Linked DNA regions of Canis lupus familiaris. The protein of the gene in region 1 interacts with the protein of each later gene in a biochemical or structural test. Links are inferred from orthologs where the notes say so. Each region holds a gene or a part of one and is shown in the gene's direction. Other genes may lie near its edges.

What was found.
Region 2: the proteins of GABARAPL1 (region 1) and NEDD4 form a complex in vitro, tested with the Homo sapiens proteins (2 studies listed by BioGRID and IntAct). The link is inferred for Canis lupus familiaris from reciprocal best matches to the Homo sapiens genes GABARAPL1 and NEDD4.
Region 3: the proteins of GABARAPL1 (region 1) and TBC1D2B form a complex in vitro, tested with the Homo sapiens proteins (2 studies listed by BioGRID and IntAct). The link is inferred for Canis lupus familiaris from reciprocal best matches to the Homo sapiens genes GABARAPL1 and TBC1D2B.
Region 4: the proteins of GABARAPL1 (region 1) and STK3 form a complex in vitro, tested with the Homo sapiens proteins (2 studies listed by BioGRID and IntAct). The link is inferred for Canis lupus familiaris from reciprocal best matches to the Homo sapiens genes GABARAPL1 and STK3.
Region 5: the proteins of GABARAPL1 (region 1) and KBTBD6 form a complex in vitro, tested with the Homo sapiens proteins (2 studies listed by BioGRID and IntAct, with this or other methods). The link is inferred for Canis lupus familiaris from reciprocal best matches to the Homo sapiens genes GABARAPL1 and KBTBD6.

What each region holds. Positions count from the first base shown.
Region 1 is NC_049248.1:10,359,438-10,362,478, forward strand, and holds the end of GABARAPL1 (gamma-aminobutyric acid receptor-associated protein-like 1), read left to right. Parts: intron 1-120; coding exon 121-239; intron 240-1,124; coding exon 1,125-1,190; 3' UTR 1,191-2,459; downstream 2,460-3,041. UniProt on the Homo sapiens protein: Ubiquitin-like modifier that increases cell-surface expression of kappa-type opioid receptor through facilitating anterograde intracellular trafficking of the receptor. Involved in formation of autophagosomal vacuoles.
Region 2 is NC_049251.1:21,503,009-21,507,140, reverse strand, and holds the start of NEDD4 (E3 ubiquitin-protein ligase NEDD4), read left to right. Parts: upstream 1-1,253; 5' UTR 1,254-1,690; coding exon 1,691-3,250; intron 3,251-4,132. UniProt on the Homo sapiens protein: E3 ubiquitin-protein ligase which accepts ubiquitin from an E2 ubiquitin-conjugating enzyme in the form of a thioester and then directly transfers the ubiquitin to targeted substrates. Specifically ubiquitinates 'Lys-63' in target proteins.
Region 3 is NC_049224.1:58,781,072-58,785,416, reverse strand, and holds the start of TBC1D2B (TBC1 domain family member 2B), read left to right. Parts: upstream 1-1,541; coding exon 1,542-1,608; intron 1,609-4,345. UniProt on the Homo sapiens protein: GTPase-activating protein that plays a role in the early steps of endocytosis.
Region 4 is NC_049234.1:1,024,938-1,029,161, reverse strand, and holds the start of STK3 (serine/threonine-protein kinase 3), read left to right. Parts: upstream 1-1,317; 5' UTR 1,318-1,507; coding exon 1,508-1,533; intron 1,534-4,224. UniProt on the Homo sapiens protein: Stress-activated, pro-apoptotic kinase which, following caspase-cleavage, enters the nucleus and induces chromatin condensation followed by internucleosomal DNA fragmentation.
Region 5 is NC_049243.1:9,450,726-9,455,034, forward strand, and holds the start of KBTBD6 (kelch repeat and BTB domain-containing protein 6), read left to right. Parts: upstream 1-1,420; 5' UTR 1,421-1,805; coding exon 1,806-3,947; 3' UTR 3,948-4,309. UniProt on the Homo sapiens protein: As part of the CUL3(KBTBD6/7) E3 ubiquitin ligase complex functions as a substrate adapter for the RAC1 guanine exchange factor (GEF) TIAM1, mediating its 'Lys-48' ubiquitination and proteasomal degradation.

The sequences.
Region 1 (3,041 bases):
CACTTTAAGCGGTGGAGCAGGTGCAGCAGATTTTTTTTTCTTTTCTGGGCCTTCCCCTTCTCATAATCCCTTGTCTTCCCTAATTGCCTTCCTTTTCTAAAACCTTCTTCCTTTATCCAGTTGGCCAGTTCTACTTCTTAATCCGGAAGAGGATCCACCTGAGGCCTGAGGATGCCTTATTCTTCTTTGTCAACAACACCATCCCTCCCACTAGTGCTACCATGGGCCAGCTGTATGAGGTAAGTGTTCTGGTCACGACAATACTGTGTAGTCTCGTGTTCTCTAGCCTTTGTTCTGGAGTCTGTTGATAACACACCTGGGAAGTGGGGCAGGAGGTGTTACTTCCCTGTATCCACTTACACACAGCAGTGTAAGGCTCTGAGAGATTAAATGTCACTTGTCCTTTAGGGATTGAGCTGACTACTAGATTCATTCTCTTTGAGCTTTCAGTTTTGCCTTATTCTAGGGTTCTAATCTTGGATCATCTTTATTGAAACAGTAAGAAATTGTTTCTGATTGCAAATTCCAAATAAAATGAAATTTAAAATTATAAGGCAAAGCCTTTAAATTGATTCATTTGTCTTAACAGATAAACTCAGTTGGAGAGAATAATTTGCTGATTTCATTTGGTTTAATTGGTAAGCTGTCAGAATCTAATGAGAAGACTATTGGAAAGGACTCGGTCATGCTCTGTCACCCAGTTTTGTGGCTATATTCTTCCTTAAAGGATTTTACATTGTACTGCCTTCTTATTGTGCCCTGTGAGTTAGTGAATTGTGTAAACTTTCTAACAATCTCTCAATCTTATTTTTATTCCATAGCATATATTTCCTGTTAGTGTATATTCTGATATATATATATATAGTATATATATAGTATCTGTGTTCCCTTTTGCTAGAATGAGCTTTTTAAAGGGTCATGTTGTTATCCCTGATGTTTGTACGTATCGATACTCTTCTTGAAGATTTTTTGTGAACTCAGAAGTTGAATTCCAGTCACTTCTGTGTATTCTTATTTTTTGGTCAGTGGAGGCTAATGATGCCTTGCAAAACCTGCTTACCTTGTGTGAGGCTCAGAATCCTGAAGGTAATGAGTATGATGTTTCCTCTTGTTTCCTCCCTCAGGACAACCATGAGGAAGACTATTTTCTGTATGTGGCCTACAGTGACGAGAGTGTCTATGGGAAGTGAGTGGTGGAAGCCCAGCAGATGGGAGCACCTGGACTCGGGGGTAGGGGGAGGGGTGTGTGTGGGACTTGGGGAAAGAGAGGGAGGGCTCCCACCGTGGAGGAGACAGAAGGGGAAGACATCTGGAAACACTACACCGCACACACCGTCATCATATTTTCACATGCTCAATTGATAATTTTTGCTGCTTCCTCGGCCCAGGGAGAAAGCATGTCAGGACAGAGGTGTTGGATTGGCTTTGATAGAGGAATGAAGATGATTTAATGTCACAGCATTTCTGTGAATTAATTTCTGTGTGACTTCACAGAAGAGGCAGGAGGTGGGCAAGATGGGGCCAGAGATGATTGCAGACCACCAGTAACTTCCTGCTCTCCTTCCTCTTCGGGCAGAGATTCTATTTTTGACATTTGCAGAAGACAGGTAGGGAAAGGGATGAGGATGTCTTAGGACCACGAGTAGTAGATCATTCCTAGGGACCAAAAGAGACCCATTGTAATTAAAGCGTTGTGACCTTGACCTAGCTCCACACCTCCCCATCCCTGTCATAATTCCACTTACAGACACCACAGCACCACCTAGTGGTCCGGATAGCCATTAGGCAGATATTTAGATGGAGCGTTCTCACCACTGGAATACAGGGGCCAGGCATGAAGGATAGTTTGGCTATTAAGATCGTTTTGGTAGCATTAAACTGGAATTGACTATGTTGAGCATCTCTGTCTAACCTGCTCTCTCTCTGGTGCCCCTTATCCCACACCTCAGTGAGGACAACCATTTCCCATTATGGGCTAAAACCTCCTTCAGCATTTCCCAAACTTTGCTCCATGTGTAGGGACAGAGATGTCCTATGTATGGAAGGGGGGCAGGTATGAGGTAAGACAGCTTGTCTATGCCTCTGCCTCAGCCAGGATTCTTGTTCCCTTGTTCCCGCCTCTTCAGTCCCAGGCACACAGATCTGCTAAGTGATGGCCAGCTGCCTCCTGACTTAGGTTTCCATGTAGTGCAGCTGCTAGTTAGACAAGTGTGAGGGAATGACTTAATACTAAATGGGGATTCTATGGATTCTGATTATTTTCACTTTTGGGGTTATGTGGGTGGGGGCGGGGAGCAGGAATCGCACTCAGACGTGACATTTCAGTTCATCTCTGCTAATGAAAAGGGTCCTTCCTGTGGGAGAAATCTGTGTCCGTTTTGTCAGCTGCAGATTCTTGTGTAATGAAGTTTATGCTGTCAGGCCAAGGAAATAAAATAATTGCATACCTTGAAAACCAACCATGAGTTCAGAAATGTTGCTTTTATTGACTGTACTGTAGAATAGGTGGTGTGTGGACTCTGAGCAGAAAACTGAGTGAGGGTGGCTGTTAGAAATGGATGCTCACGTATGTCAGATGTATAGAGGTTTAAGTAAACCTCTTTACTTACCACGAGTTGTTATTCAAAGGTGAGCGTGGTGGGGTAGCATGCCTGGTGTGTTGGTGATACGTGTGTGATTTTCTGCTCCACAGATAAATGCTTTGTCATTGGTTTGTGTGTTTCTCAAAGCTGAAGATGGAACACTGCCTGGGTGAGACTATAAGGGGTAAGGCGGGGGTGTAGTTATTAAAAATGCAGATGTCTGGGTTTCATCCTACATTTAGCTGAGTCATTCTCAGCGTAGGTGTCTGTGGTGTTAACCAGCTCCTCCTGATTCTGCTGCATGCCGAAGGTGGAGAGGCATTGCTCTCAATACCTGGTTTTGTTTTGAGTGCCAACCAAACCTATTCTGTCTGCCACATTGTGGTTGGTGTGAGGCCACCATCTCCCAGAGCAGCAACTGGCACATACGTAAGGCTCCTGAGGTCAGAACAAGCTTGG
Region 2 (4,132 bases), on another chromosome or scaffold:
GGGTGTAGTACCATGTGGTGTAAACAACTGAACTATTTTACTTTTTACTTTCCTATGAATGAGCCAGTATATATTTATTACTGGAGTTCCAGCTATAAAATTCAGGTAAGGGGTTTAAATATACCCTAGAGTATTATTTAAAAATAAATTTGTTTCTTTCAAATAGAATACCAAGCTTGGTCTATGACATTTAAGGGAGAAATTAAAATATTAAACTTTTATTACCTAGTAAACTGAAAATAAAGTAAAGGTTAAATAAATACAAAGCAGAAAAAATATATATACAAAATCACAACCTCTAGGAGGACAAATAGTCTACTGTTCTCTACTGTGGGAGCTTTATCAGCAGTAGTAAGTAATTCCACCTCTAGGGCAAGGCTAGTACTCAAAAATGTAAACAAGTATGTACTTTGTTTATACAAAGAAATATGCAGCATGGTTTGTATTTCTTTATAGGTATCAAACAGCTAAATGGATTGTTTCAGCACACCAGTAGGGGCCAGCAAAGAGCTCTTAGAGTTTTCAGAACAGATTTGGCATTGAGATATGTTTATTTGATGTGTTAAATCCTTTTTAGACTTCTTTACTTACCACAACACTCTCTTAAGTGAATGAATTGCAGAGACAGTGGAATAAAATATCTTGTGTGCTCAAACTATATTGGGGTATAGTTTTTCTGTCTAATCTGCATATATTTTTAATGGAATGTTTGCTTAGGCTATTTCTTGGCAGAGTTTTAATAGTCAAAATATAAATGGCATCATTTAAAGACTGTACTACTTGGCTGGAAAAGGCCTTAAAATTACAGAAGAAAATGCTTGGTGACAGCTTCTCTTAAATTTTTCTTTCTCAGACCTATGCTCAATTTTTCAATAGTATTACTAGGCTAATTTTGTGTTTCTATCCTTAAGCTTTCACTTTTTATAAGTAGTGTTTTGGAAGCTAAAATATTTATCTATTTGATTTAATGCTTGAGTTTTAATTCACCCCAGAGTTTTGGTACTTCCAAATTTATACAACTGTTTGAATTCACTCATTAAAAAAAAAATTAACAGAATATATGCCTTTCTACATTAACTAACTTGACAAGATTCCTAGTTTGTCTACTGTTTGGAAATTCAATCCTTGATTTGATACTCAATTACATGGGGTTTCATTCCTACCAACTTCCTGTAATTTTATCCCTATGGGTAAAAATATTAGTGGTCAAACTCTGCTGGAGAAAGTATAGACGCCGTGATTCACATAGTTAAATGTTCATTTAGTAGAGCAGGAGTGAAAAAATACTGTTTCAACTTGAAATGCTAGAAGATTGTTGTTCTTGTGTTACTCATTCATGCAAATTGGAGAAGGTATAATTGAAACAAGGTTGGCAGTGTTTGAGGCAGTGCGCTGCAGCTGAGCTCAGCTTAAAGGGCGCTGGAAATCAAGTGCTTTGTAAGTGAAGGCATTTTGACTACAAGCGATTCAAAATATTTGGAAACGTCAGTCTCAGGAATGGGTCGTCTTTTTCTTTCTATGATATCTGGTATCTAAGGTTTTACTTAGGATAAAGACTACTGCTTAAGAGCTCTTTTAGGCACCACAAATGATTTTTTCCTTCGATGCAGTGCAGCTGCTTCTAGCCTGTCTACCGACAGAGATCTTTGTTATGACTTTCAGCCCTTAACATGTTTGGAAATGAGAACAAATGGCACAAAGCTTACGATTGCACTTTGCAGCCAGAAGAAGCAATACTTATCCTTTGTCAGAAACCTCCGGAGATGATTTGGATAGCAATGTTCACATGTGCTTCAAAAGACCAACACGGATTTCAACGTCTAACGTTGTTCAAATGAAGCTGACTCCTAGACAGACTGCACTAGCTCCGTTGATACAGGAAAACGTTAACTCTCAGGAAAGATCATCTGTTCCTTCACCTGAAAATGTTAATAAAAAGAGCAGCTGTCTGCAGATTTCACTACAACCAACAAGGTACAGTGGATGTCTTCAGTCTGGCAATGTCTTAGCTGATGGTGATGATGCTTCATTTACATCTGTCTTTAAGGATGGCATTTACAACAATGCTGTGGCTGAGAATGAGCTGAATGCTGTGAATGATGGTAACCTTGTAAGCAGTTCGGCCATTCACAGTGGGAGCCTCAGTAACTTTTCCACCAGTGAGAATGGGTCTTACAGCAGCAATGGTAGTGATTATGGATCATGCACAAGTATCACAAGTGGTGGTTCCTACACAAACAGTATCATCAGTGACAGCAGTGGTTATACTTTTCCACCAACTGATGATACTTTTTTTGGTGGAAATTTATCTTCTGACAGCACCTCCAATAGAAGTGTGCCAAACAGGAATACTACTCCATGTGACATTTTTTCAAGAAGTCCAAGTACCGTTCCTTTTGTCCAGGATGACTTGGAGCATGGACTAGAAATTATGAAATTGCCAGTGACCAGGAACTCGAAAATTCCACTAAAACGTTGTTCATCCTTAGTCATTTTTCCTAGGAGTCCTTTAAATACCCCACCGACTTCTCCAACAAGTACAGACGTTCTTCCAAGCAAAGGATCCTATCAAACCTCACACCAATTTATTATTTCTCCTAGTGAAATTGCCCACAGTGAAGATGGTAGTAGCACTAAGGGATTTCTTTCAACAGCTGTCAATGGACTTCGGTTATCTAAAACAATCTGTACTCCCGGAGAAGTGAGAGACATACGACCACTTCACAGGAAGGGTTCATTACAAAAGAAAATTGTTATTGCGAATGATAGTCTGAATCAGAATGTCCGTGAAAAGTCGTCTGAAGGGTTTTCTTGTGTTTCAGTGCATTTCACCCAACAAAAAGCAACTACATTAGATTGTGAAACAGCAAGTGGTGATTGCAAACCAGAGATGTCAGAAATCAAGCTTAATTCTCATTCAGAGTGCATTAAGCTTATGCAGAGGACATCTGCATGTTTACCATCCTCTCAACACCTAGATTACCAAATAAATATCAATGGACAGTTGGAAAGACCAAATTTACAGATAAACAAAAACCATGCTATTTTACAGAGAAGTGTTTCATTGGGAGGAACTTACCCAAATGTTTCCTGTTTATCCAGCCTCAAGCACAATTGTTCTAAGGGGGGACCATCACAATTACTCATAAAATTTGCACCTGGAAATGAAGATAAAGTTGATAACTTATCAAGAGACAGTAACAGAGATTTCACAAATGAACTATCTAATTCTTTAAAGCATTCTTGTAAGGTAAGTTTCCTTTGGTCTTGGTAATTGTTAATTTATACTAGAAAAGCTTTATGAACTATTTGGTTAAAATATATTAGAACTTAGCAAGTGTTTTATAGTCATAATCTTTGTATTTGTAAATCTGAGGAAACTTCAATAGTTTTTCACTCTCTGTTATTTTACTAGTGTCAAAAATATGCATTAAAAAAAAAACTCTCTAAAATGATTTAAACCATGAAACATTTCTGTAGCATGAAAACAAGCTTTAAATAATAATTTATTTCATAATATTTTTACCTTGGTATATTTTTTTCTTCAAGTAATATAGCATTTTAATGTCTAACTCCATATTTTATTCCTACTTTCAAAAATGTTCATTTAGCATTCTCCCCTCCTTAATCAATGTGAAATAGGTAAAATATAGAATACTTATTTAAAATACTAAACAATAAAAAGCCTACATAAAAATGTGAAAATCTTTTCACAAATGAACACAGAGAAAATGTTTCTCTAAAATATGCGTATTTAGTAGAACATTGATAAAAACTATTATGCTGCTGTTTTAAAGCACAGGAAAAATAACTGGCATTTGCATTTGTATATACCCTTAACCACAGGAATTTTGTTTCCACCCAGTTTTCCTTTAGCTACCAGTTAAGATTGCCTTCTAAAATGTAACTTAGTCTTTCAACAGTATTGAATTCTAATTTTATATTTTTTGAATTTGGTTTCAATTGCTAGGCATTTCCCAAATACTCCTAGTTACCTTATTAATTTGTTATTTTGGTAATTTTGTTTATTAGTCATTTAACTCTAATGTATCTTAACCAAAGCAGTTTTTTATATAATTGAGCCTTTCCAAAGCATTTGAATTTAAATAGATTTTCCAAAGTATTTGAACTT
Region 3 (4,345 bases), on another chromosome or scaffold:
CTGCCTCTTGGAGCTCTGCCTGCAGGAGGCTGCTGGGGAGGCCTTGTCGGCCGCAGCCACTCTGTTTCCGCTGTGTGGCTGCACTGTATGTTCTGTGACCAGTCCCCTATAGGGGGTCACTTGGGTCATTTCTAAGGTTCCCCAATGTCCAACAATGTGGCAGGGGACAGCTTCAGGAGCACTCAACAGAGCACAAAAGTGAGAACACCCACAGCACACATCCCCCAGTGGGGCCGCTCCAGTCAGAGGACGCCTGCCTTTGTGGTTTCAACAGATGTTGCCAAATTGCCTCCTTTTGGGGTTGCATGTATTTGTGATCAGTAAACATGAAAGGACTGGGCTGATGAATGGACTGTGTTCTCAAGCGCTGTCATATGGGGCCCTCCCGCAGGGGAGGGACTGCTGCTGGGCGGGAGAGGTCACCAGTTTCTTGACCTTAATCTGGCCCCTCAGCGCCTCTGAGCAAGTTTGTTTCTGCATGCCTTCTGGGGTGGATGGTGGCCCCCAGAGATGTCCTCAGGCCCTGCACCCACTGCACACAGGAGCAAGACAATGGCCAGGTCCCAGGGCCTTGACACAGTCCTGGAAACTCAAATAAGGAAACAGCCCCAGCCTGCACCAGCGTTGACTCCAGAATCCAAAATAGGAAACTATAAAATCACAATAAGTGTGCAAGCAAATGTCTATAAATGGAATATTGCATCAATTTGATGGAGAATTCACAAAAGATTCATCGCATCTGAAAATGGTTTGGAGGTCAGATGGTCTGCCCTCGCCAGGACCTCTGAGTGTGCAGGAGAACTGCTGAGAAATCATTACCAGTCACCAATTGAACTCTCAAAGCCCAATCATAAAAATAATATTTTCCCAAAAGTTCAAAGGAAAAAAGTTATATATATATACACACACACAGGCACACAGTTTATAACGTAAGATGTGACTGTCATTTTATTTTATTTTATTTTATTTTATTTTATTTTATTTTATTTTATTTTATTTTATTTTATTTTATTTTATTTTATTATTTTATTTTATTTTATTTATTTTTTTTTGTGACTGTCATTTTAAAATTATATATATTTGATATGAAGTGAAATGGGACCCCAAAGAGAGCCTTGGACCCACCATGGTCCTAAAACCACAGCAGCCCCACTTGCTCCATAGAGCACCCCGCCTGGGGCTGTGGGCTCCCCACCTGCCCAGAGGAAAGGGAAACCATCCCTCAGGCCAGCGGGCTTCCCTGTGAACTACCTCTCAGTTTTAGCGTCAGGAACAAGTGTTCTCCATAGATTATCTGGCCTCACCAGTCGTTCTGAGTCCCATTTAAAAATGAAAATCTGCAGAATTGTAGGCCATGTGTTCATGAGGCCTGAAGGAGGGACAACCAGGGAGAGGTACATTAAGGCCCAGGGGGAAGACCAGGGGTCAGAGACCGGGTGTTAAAAACCTTGTTCTATTGGAGACTGATGGCCGGGTGGGCCTGGCACACCTGGCCACCTGCACAGGGGGCCCTGACTTTCACTGTCCCCTGCAGCGGGAATATGGCACCCCTAATGTGCACCAAGCACTTCCAGTACACGCTGTTTCCTTTGTCCTCTGTCCCGGCAGGCAAGGTGGTATGACTCTGTCTGTCCTCACTGCCAAGACAGGAAACAGACTCAGGACCAGAGACAGCCTGGCCTGCCTCAGCCAAAGATGGAGTCAGCGGCAGGGCCTCTCCATATGTGTGGGGCATCTGCCCACCTGCTGTTGCTTCGCCCTCACCATCCCCCAGCCGGGAGCACCTTTCCCTGCAAATTCTGTACCTACCTTCAAAATGCAATGGATCAATATTAGTAGCTATTTAGCCGTATATTTAAACTTCAAAATACAAAAGAAACTCCAACAGACTCCAAAGGGGCTCTTGCTGGGCCCTCGTATCCTGCCTGCCTTCGGGGGTCTCCCTCCTAACCAGGGCCTTCCCGCTGTGTGGTTTGCGTCTGCCCGCACCTTCCCTCCATTGAAATGCCTCCATCCCCCAAAAGGGCCTCACAGGGGAGTTGCAGTGCCTGGAGGCCTTGGAGGGGGGGGTGGATTCTGAGGGCAGGGGGCTTGGGGAGGAGCCAAGACAGGCGGGCTGCTGTCCTGGCTGTGGTGCCAGGCCGAGAACCAGGACTGGGACAGAAAGGACCAGGCCTCTGTACCTGCAGCCCGCCCTGTGTCCAGGCCTCCCCCGCTCCCCAGCCTGTATGTCCCCCCAACTCCTGTGTAGTCCTCACCTGCTGGCCCCCAGCCCCTGCCAACCCTCTGCCCTCCATCAGTGCCCTGGGCCCCAGGGCTTAGAGAGTGGCCAGCACTTCAGGTGACCCCACCCCCCCAGGAAGGGGAGCCATAGGCTGTGAGATTTGCCTGCACATTTGGCAGGGAAATGAGGCCTTCGGGAAGCCAGAGTCTGCAAATCCAGGCCAGAGGGGTGCGGTGGGGCTTCTCTCTCTGAAGCCACCATCCCGCCTGCCCAGGCCCTTCTGAGACTCAGCACAGCACCCAATGGAGGTAGAGGCAGGGGTGGTGACAGTCCCTCTCACCCCCCTTACTCGGGCTCCCTCCCATGACCCCATCAGGGCAGGATGGTATGGGAGCACGTGGTAGGGAGGTGGTGGTGGGGCCTCCCTCTGGGGGCTATTCCCTGGCCAATGCAGCCTCTGTTCTGAAGCCAGCCCAGCTCCCCGGTTCCCCCTCTAGCACCACACCCTGAACTCCAAACCACCCCCATCCAGACCAACTTCCTCCACCAAGCTCCGGGGTTAGCAAGGCCCCATCAGGATCCCTGTGTGCTTGACCTCCAGATAATGGGGCAGTCTCTGCTCAGAGACAGGAGGGCTCCCTCTGTGCCATCTGGCCACGGGGCTGCAGCTAGGGCCCCTTCTCTGGTGGGGTGGCAGGGAAGACACACCCTGTGCCCCCCAGTGGTAATGCTTACACTAACTGCGGAGGGCAGGATGGAAGAGTGCCCAAAGGGAAGGGACTGGTCAGCTGTGATGGCTGAAAACCTCAAGAGGCTGGAAACAGAAGAGCCTCACTGGCCCAGCTGGAGAAGGCCCACAGGCCTTACAGCTGGGCTGCAGGCAGGCAGGCAGACCATTGGAGATCAACTGCTGCCCATCCCCTGCAGCCCAGAGAGGGCACAGACACGGCTATCAGGCAGCATATCAGGCAGTGAGGTCTCCTCTCTCTGGACTCCCCCAAGGACTGTGGGCTCCTCCTGCAACAGGATGGCACCTTGGCCAGCTTGTCCTCCTGGAGTCTGTGAGGTGCAGAGACTGCACGTGGCTGGGCCTCCCACCCCATCCCTCTTGAGGGAGACTGGCCGAGGATGAGTCATTGGCTCTGTGTCCCTGGGGCTTGCCCAGGGCTGGCCATGTGGGAGCAAGCTCACTGCCCTAATTTCCCCTTTTGGGTAAACAGCAGCCACTTCCTCCTGGGTCGGCCACTTCCTTCTGGTCACTGGGCTCCACGAGGCTAGAGGGGGCAGGCCCTGTGGCACCAAGCAGACATATCCTAGAAATGGTGGTGGGAGGGTACACAGGCTGCACAACGCTGGCCCCTGACCACAGGACCTGGACATTCAGTCTAAAGGGACTTTGAAAACTGCAAATGTCCACCTGCCATTTGAGAAGGGCTCCAAGGGAGGACCCGGGAGCCAGCAAGTTCCCATGCAGGATAACCCTGGGCAGGGGATCTGGTTGGAAAGGACGGAACCGAAGCTGCATTTCTTCAGCATTTTACATAAATTACAAGACTTGTCCAGAAAGATGGTGGGGGAGGGGCTGCAGAAGCCGAACTAAGGCGCCAGCTCTCAACCCCCGGCACAGGGCCCTCAGGACGGAACGGGGTGTGACACCATGCAGGGTTGTTCCTGGAAAACCAGCCTCCTGGAGTGGGCAGGGCTGGTGGCCTGGGAGAGATCTAGGGGATCATAGGGGGTTGGGGGATCTTGGAGGCTGGGGCCAATTCTAATCAGCTGAATGGAGGGGAGGGACTGTGCTGAGAGGTTGTTGCCACTTTGTCCCGCTCACTGGGGTCTCAGGACCTGTGGCTGTGCAGCGTCCTCAGAGGGCCACACTCTGGGCCTGGCCAGTCTGTGAGATTCTGCAGGCCCAGTGCTTGGCTCTGCAAGTTCTCCAGGGACCTATGAAAGGTCTGTAGCCAAGGACAAGTATACCTGGATTCCAAAACCCGAGAAAAACAGCAAAAGATGATTATGCTCGGGCTCCCAAGAAAAAGAGCAAAATCTAAATCAATAGACATTTAATTAGATGTCTACAAAGTGTAACATTATAATCATCAAAATGTCACTCTTTCGAGG
Region 4 (4,224 bases), on another chromosome or scaffold:
AGAATGACATAATTTCAAAAGTTTTTCCTAGTTTTTGTGTTTTAATAATTTAGCTTTTTGCTGTCTTGTTAGTTCTGAACTATAAGTCCGTCGATGTTTAGTAAATGAAAAGGAGTATAAAATTTTATAACAATCTCTTTTTTGCAGAACCTGACTTCAGGGTTCAACAACGAATGGTCTTAAATTTAACATAACTAAATTTAATGGGGAATATAGTGCTTTGAAAAATAAATCATGTAAGTTTATTACATATGGAAACAATGCAAAAAAGAGGAAAACGACTATTAGACAAGTCTAATTTGGATTAATATTCACAAAGTTCCTTTATTTAACATTCTCTTCATAGACTTTGCTCTAACCTTCAAGAAACCTCTATGACTCTACACCTGGATAATTTCTAATGAAAGCAAACTCATTACATAGCACCTTAGATGATCATAAGAAAGATATTTATATACGGAACTTCATGTTAAATGGTATCCTAAAAAGATAGATGCAGGAAGGGATCAAATCACAATGAGGTCAGGGCCTTCGGAAAAGGTTGGGGGAGACAGGTGACAAGAAGGAAGAGAAACTTTTCTTGACTTCTTTTCTGTGCACCATAATTTGTTTTAGGTTTTCCAGGTGATCCAAGCGAACAGCTGGCAAGACCACAGTGCATGAAATCTGTGCACTGGGATCTCACCGCAGTCCTAATTTTCTTTGTAATCAGACGTAATTATAGCGAAATGTAGTGAGGAGTTTGTCCACAATCAACATCAAACAAGAATTTCCAGTAGTATCCCTCGTGCTGTAGCTACAAACGTCAAACCGGGCGGGCGTAAAACACAGCCCATAATTATAAACAACTAGAGACAGAAGCGTGGGCAGTTAGTGACACTTCAAAAGGCTGCACAAGATGCTTGGGATGTGTCTTTGGGAAATCCAGAGAAGAAATGAGTCAAATAGGATTGGGGCAAAAGCCAATTTTCGGAGGCAGATGCGGAGCGGCAGCTCTCAGCGGCTCCAGGGAAGGTGCATCCCCCGCCCCCGGCCAGCACAGACAGGCCCCGGGTCCTAACTAGGCCTTGGTCCGCGGGTCTCCGCGCCCTTTTTCCGCTCGCAGCTCGGGGGCCGGCGCTTGACTCCGCCTCCGCCTCGGCCTCGGCCTCCGCCTCCGCCTCGGCCCCGCCCCCGCCCCCGCCCCCGCCCCCGCCCCATCAGGGCCCGGCTCCGCCCACCAGCCTGGGCCGCCGCTGGCTCCGCCCACTCTCCCCGGGCGGCGGAGGGGCGGGGCTCGGCGGAGGGGCGGGGCTGGGCGGGGCTCGGCGGGGCGGGGAGGGGCGGGGCGCGGAGGCCGCGGCGCTCGCGAGCGGGAGGAGGATCCGCCGCGGACTTACGGGAAAGTTGGTCCGAGTTCCTGGAGGTTTTCCCCGGGGACTCGGGGGCTCGGCCGGCCGGTGCCCGGCTCCTGTCCTCCCTGCGTCCTTCAGCGCCCACCGGGGCCGTTCCTCTGTCGCCGGCCGCCATGGAGCAGCCGCCAGCGCCCAAGAGGTAACGCTCGCGGGGAGCCGGGAGCCGGGAGCCGGGAGCCGGGAGCCGGGAGCGGAGGGAGGGCGGGGGGGCCGGCGGCCGCGGGCGGGGGCGGCTAGGCCCGAGCTGGCGGCGACCCCTCCGCGGCGGCGGGGCCCGGGCCGGGCGCGTCGGCCGTCGCGAGGCGGGGCCGGGCCGCGGCTGCCCCCAGGCCCGGGGCGCCGCGGGGAGGCCGAGCCTGGCGTCTGCCGCGGCGGCCGGGCCTGGCGGCGTGGGGAGTCGCTGGGGAGTCGCTGGGGAGCGGCTGGGGAGCGGCTGGGGAGCGCCGGCCTCCCCGCCGCGCTCCTGGGCCTCTTCCTCCCGGCGAGTCTCGGAGCCCGGGACGCGAAACGGGGCATGCATTAGGCTGCTCGCAGCCTTCTCGGCGCTTTTGTCCAGTGTTTCTCGTGATACTGCCATTTATTTGAGAAGGCGGATTATTTGTTTCCCGTCGAAGGAATTCCGTAGGAACAGCTACGTAGTGTGTGGACCTTGAGGGTGTACCGCACTGACAGGTGTTCCTTCCTCACCGCCCTCAAGTTCAAAAGTATTTATGGATGCGAGACAGTAGGAATCCTAAATTAGAACCCCTTCCCCGCATAGTGCTTTGTTTTGTTTTCTAGCATATAGAAGTAGTGATGCTTTGGTATTTACTGTTAGTTTGATCTTTGATATATTGGAAGAGTGAGAGTACACAGTAGATACTTTTAAAAGTAGTATTTGAAATGATCAAGCTAAATCAAGGCTGCCCAGAGATATAAATTCATAATGTGCATCTTTTTTCCCCCCAAGAATGAATCAACGTCATTTAACTGGTGTTGTTTAAAACATGTAATCTCAGTCTTTCATTTGTAATTTATAAAATAAGAGTACTAATCTTTCTCCCAGAGAGTGCTGTTGTGAAGATTAAGGAGTTCCTGTGTTCTGATACTTAGAGATCTTTAGACGAAAGGTGATATATTCAGGAACATGGAATAATTAAAAAGGTAGGAACTTTGTGAGCTGTTGTGAATCGTGTGACTAGACATGTGAGCCTTGAGGCCTGGAAACCATCTGTTCAGGTGAAAAAAGGTGGGTGTGTGGAAGGGCGTCCAAAAGAGACTTGTTATCAGAGCCCTTGATTTTTGTCTGGTATTTTGTATTGAATTCTCGTATTGATTGGGCACCCAGTTTTAGTATCTTAGAAGAAAATTGGAAACTTTTTTTCTTCTCTGTTTTGGAAGGACTGTAAGGGGGCCACCTCTGAGATGATGCCCAAAGGTCAAGTTGAACAACTCCAAATTGAAGTAGAAGCTCTATTCATTCATTGGCTGTAAATTATCGGTTTCTTTATAGGTATAAGAGATCCTCTGGCCTTGCAGGGGCTCTAGAAAACCTAGAAGGGCCAGGGGGAGATGTGGGTGGTATATATAACCATTTCATGGTCATTTATACTTTACAAAGTGATGCTTGCACTCCAACAGGCTCATTTTTAGTTCTCTTCAGACAGACTTCGTTGTTCCAGGAAGGCATTTCTGGAAAGCAAGCTATGTGACATTAAGCCCATATATTTGAATGTCACTTAAATTTTTTTCATAGCATTTTCATTTTCATAATATCATCATAGCAACCCTATTACGTAAGTTTGATTACAGGAAGTAATCCTGTTTTGTAGCTGAGGACACAAAGAGTTTGCTCCATGGAAGGCTATGACAGGGATTACTGAAAGTGAGTTTTTGTGTCCTCCCTATTGATTATTACCTTCTAATAATAAAATATGCCATTTTTGAGGTCATTTTTTCCCCCAGGAAATTTGTATATGCATTCCTTTATTTTATTGTCATAAGAAAGAGGAATCATGGCTCTGCAGCTTATTACGCTAGTTCTAAATTTAATTTCTTCATCTGTAAAGTGTGTTACGGGGATTAGAATAGGTCATGTGTAAAAGCACTTAGCACAGTGCTCCATAATGTGTTGAACGACGCTAAATGTTGGTTTATTTTTTCCTTATTAAATGAAACTCAGAGAGGTTAAATAATTTGGTCAAGTGGAGGAGTTGCCAGAACCCTGAATCTGATTGGCTGCAAAGGCTGTGAACCCTCTCATTGTGTACAGTGATACCTCTTTTTAAAAACACTTCTTTTAGCCTTCCATGGTGTGGTGGCCATGTCTTTGTACGATCCTGTGGGCCCTCTGCTTGTTCTTTTCCTAATCCCTGTAAGAATGTTGCTTTGCTTTTCTGCCTTGCATAGGAGCACTTCCTTAGGGCTCAGACATTTTTACATGGTCACATTTATGTTGCTGATGTTCAAGTCTGTATGACCAGCAGGTGTGTTCAGTTGGAATATTTGATATTTTTATGCAGATCCATTCTTTCATTATTCTTTCTAGTTTGTCACTAAGTCCTATTGAATTCTCCATCAAGAAGTCTAGATTCATTTTCTTTTCTGTTTTTCATTTTTGATACTACTACTCCATACCTGGGTTTTATGACCGTCATACTTGATTTACAGCAATGCCTTCCAACTAGGTACTTTAGGGCAGTGGTTTAAAAAATTTTTTAGCAGGAAGGCTGTGTTTGGAGTAGAGGCAGGCACTAGGACCTGGTTCTCACTGCCTTATCTCCTTCTACTCCCCTTTTGCTGCCTGCAGAACCTCCTAATGATCCATAGGACACTGCCTGCAATGGCTTTT
Region 5 (4,309 bases), on another chromosome or scaffold:
GTTTTAGCCACAACTGTAAAAAACCCAAACCAAACGGAATGTCCTAGAGTGGATGATGATGGGTAAGTGAACTGCGGCAAATCTATACATACAACAGAATATCATTCAGTGATAAGAGAAATGAGCTTTTAAGCTGGAAAAAAGAAAGACATGGAGCCACCTGAAATGACTATTGCTAAGTGAAAGAAGATGTTTTTAAAAGGCTACACATTGTAAATAATAATAATAATAATAATAATAATAATAGGCTACACATTGTCCAGTTTCAACTATACGACATCCTGGGGAAAAAGTTAAAACGAGACAGCAAGGAAAATCAGTGGTTTCTGGGCGGGCGCGGGTGGGTGGGAGGGCAGGGAGAAGGAAGCATACAGGGATGGAACACAGGGAATTTTTATGGCCGTGGGGGCTGTTCTGTAGGTCACTGTAATGGTGGGCCCGTGACCTTACACCTTCTGCAGGACCCTCGCAACTGCACCCAGGAGCGGAACCCAATCTCAACAGCCCGCTGTAACCCACGATGACCCGGTGGCACGCACCCCCGGAGGCGAGGTGTCGGCCAGAGGGGGGACCGTCAGGGGGTGCGGGGGGTGGCGGCTCCCCGTGAAACCCAGCTCGATCTTGGGGCACCGGAAACTGCTCTTAAAAACCAACTCAAAAAAAAAAAAAACCCAAAAAACAAACCCAACTCAATCGCTAAAAAAGAAAAGAAACAACAACAACAAACAAAAACACCCCCGACTTTAAATCCAGAAGACACAACGGTGGTTGCCAGGGAAGAAGGGGGGGGGATGGGCGAAAGGCGATGGAGAGGACCCTTATCCTGATGAACACCGAGCAACCCACAGAATCACTGAAATCATACACCTAAAACTAATCTTTGGGGAAAGGAAGAAAAAAAGAATGTATTACAAAAAGGCGGGGGCGCGGAAGGGGCGGCATCTCTGAGGAAAACCTGCAGGGCTCTCGATTTTTTTCCCCCCCACGGGCTCCTACATCTCAAGAGGGAGCGCTCGATGATCTCCTAAACGAGCAAAGAGAAGCTAAAGGGCACCCGACCTCCACCTCACGGGCGCCGCGAGAGTCTTTATCAGCCTAACCCGCGACTGTGCAGTCCGAGCATCCTTATTTAACCTACGCAATTCACGTCGTCGTCGTCACACGGCGCTGGGACACACCGTCGTTATTCACATTAAAAAAAAAAAATAAAAAAAAAAAACCGTCCCGAGCGCGGAGCCCAACAAGGTGGCAGATACGAAAACCAGGAGGGCTAACCCGGATTCCAGGCTCAAAGTTCTAAAGCATAAAAGCGAACGGCCGAAAATTAGCGATTTCTAATTCCGTCGGCCGAAAACAATGAACGGCCGATAAATCTCGCGATGCCTATGGAAACTACCACTCCCAGCGTGCACAGCGGCTCCGGGCCATCCGCCTATCCCCTGGAGTCTGGAGGGGCCCCGGCATGCCTCGGGGCGCGAAAGGCAGCCTGGGAGCCGTAGTTCCGCTGGACGCCTACCGGTATTGCCAGCGCGGCAGTGGCGGCTCTCTCGGTTCCGTCCAGCCGGGTTCTGTAAGGCGAGCTGAGGCGGAGAAAAGGGCGCGGAACTGGAAGCGGGTGAGTCAGGCGCTGGCTACGTGATAAAGGGAGGCGGCACTGCGGCATACGGCTGGATTAGGTAAATGGACCCGTGCTGCAGTCTCTCCGGAGACGCCGCGATCTAGCGCCCGCGCGAAGAGGGCGAGGAGGAGCCCGCGCCCGGTCCGTGCACCCGTTCTCGCCCTCGTACCCCGCCGCCATCTCCACCATGCAGTCCCGGGAAGAGGCTCCGCGTTCTCGCCGCCTGGCCAGTCCCCGCGGCGGCAAGCGGCCCAAGAGGATCCACAAGCCCACGGTCTCGGCTTTCTTCACGGGCCCGGAGGAGCTGAAGGACGCGGCTCACTCCGCAGCCCTCCTGGCGCAGCTCAAGTCCTTCTACGACGCGCGGCTGCTGTGCGACGTGACCATCGAGGTGGTGACGCCCGGCAGCGGGCCCGGCACCGGCCGCCTCTTCCCCTGCAACCGGAACGTGCTGGCGGCCGCGTGTCCCTACTTCAAGAGCATGTTCACGGGCGGCATGTACGAGAGCCACCAGGCGAACGTGACCATGCACGACGTGGACGCCGAGTCCTTCGAGGTGCTGGTCGACTACTGCTACACGGGCCGCGTGTCGCTGAGCGAGGCCAACGTGGAGCGCCTCTACGCGGCCTCCGACATGCTGCAGCTCGAGTACGTGCGGGAGGCCTGCGCCTCCTTCCTGGCCCGCCGCCTCGACCTGGCCAACTGCACCGCCATCTTCAAGTTCGCCGACGCCTTCGGCCACCGCAAGCTGCGATCCCAGGCCCAGTCCTTCATAGCCCACAATTTCAAGCAGCTCAGCCAGATGGGTTCGATTCGGGAAGAGACTCTGGCGGATCTGACCCTCGCCCAGCTGCTGTCCATCCTGCGCCTGGATAGTCTGAACATAGAGCTGGAGCAGACCGTGTGTCATGTGGCCGTGCAGTGGCTGGAGGCGGCTCCCAAGGAGCGCGGACCCAGCGCTGCGGAAGTCTTCAAGTGTGTCCGCTGGACACACTTCACTGATGAAAATAAAGATTACCTGGAGGGGCTGCTGACCAACACCATTGTGAAAAAGTACTGTCTGGACCTTATCGAGGGGGCCCTGCAGATGCGCTATGGTGACAAGCTGTGCAAGGCTCTGGCGCCCAAGCCAGAGACCAGCAGTGGCAGCTGTGGCGGCGGCAGCAGCAGCAGCGGTGGCAGTGGCGGCGGCAGCGGCAGCGGCGGCAGCGGCGGCAGCGGTGGTAGTGGGGGCAGTGGGGTTGGCAGCGGCACCAGCAGCAGCAGCAGCAGCAGCTCCTCTGTTGTACCCATAGCTGAAAACCCACCCCAGAGGCTGGGCGTGTGTGCTAAGAAGATGGTGATCTTCTTTGGACATCCTAGAGATCCCTTTCTGTGCTGTGACCCATACACCGGCGATATTTACAAAGTGCCCTCGCCTCTGACCTGCCTTGCTCACACCAGGACTGTCACCACCTTAGCTGTCTGCGTCTCTCCAGACCACGACATCTACCTGGCCGCGCAGCCCAGGAAGGACCTCTGGGTGTACAAGCCAGCCCAGAATAGTTGGCAGCAGCTGGCCGACCGCCTGCTGTGCCGGGAGGGCATGGATGTGGCCTACCTCAATGGCTACATCTACATTTTGGGTGGGCGAGACCCCATTACCGGTGTTAAGTTAAAGGAGGTGGAGTGCTACAGTGTCCAGAGAAACCAGTGGGCACTGGTGGCTCCGCTACCCCATTCCTTTATATCCTTTGATCTAATGGTCATCCAGAACTATCTTTATGCCCTCAACAGTAAGCGCATGTTCTGCTATGATCCGAGCCACAATATGTGGCTCAAGTGTGTTTCCCTCAAGCGCAATGACTTTCAGGAAGCCTGTGTCTTCAATGATGAGATCTACTGTATCTGCGACATCCCCGTCATGAAGGTCTACAACCCAGTCAGGGGGGAATGGAGGCAGATTAACAATATTCCCCTGGTGTCGGAGACCAACAACTACCGGATAATCAATCACGGCCAAAAACTGTTGCTGATCACCTCTCGCACCCCACAGTGGAAGAAGAACCGGGTGACCGTGTATGAATATGACACTAGGGGAGACCAGTGGATCAACATAGGTACCACCTTAGGCCTCTTCCAGTTTGATTCCAACTTCTTTTGCCTCTCAGCTCGTGTTTATCCTTCCTGCCTTGAACCTGGCCACAGTTTCCTCACTGAGGAAGAAGACGTGCCGAGTGAATCTAGCACCGAATGGGATTTAGGTGGATTCAGTGAGCTGGACTCTGAGTCAGGAAGTTCAAGTTCTTTATCTGATGATGATTTGTGGGTTCAGGTAGCACCTCAGTGAAATGCACAGGATCAGCAGAGTTTGTTGTAGATAGGTTGAAACACTAAGGTGTTTTTACTGCTTTGGAAAGTGTCTTAAAGAGATGCCCTTTCTCTTTGCTGGGAAAAAAACAACAACAACACAGGTTGATTGATTTCAGGTTTGGTTTAGAAAGGGTATTGTTTGAAATACTAACATAATTTAATGTTAGGGAATTTATACACAAAGAAATCAACCTATTTAATAATTTACTGTTCTAAAAGTCCAGTATTGATTTGATTGTTGGGTATGTTTATGTTTGATTATACTAATTTAGTCTTTTGTTATTAAATCTTCTGTTTTGTGCCACAAGTACTGTGACTTGAATTTTGATTTTTAAAATA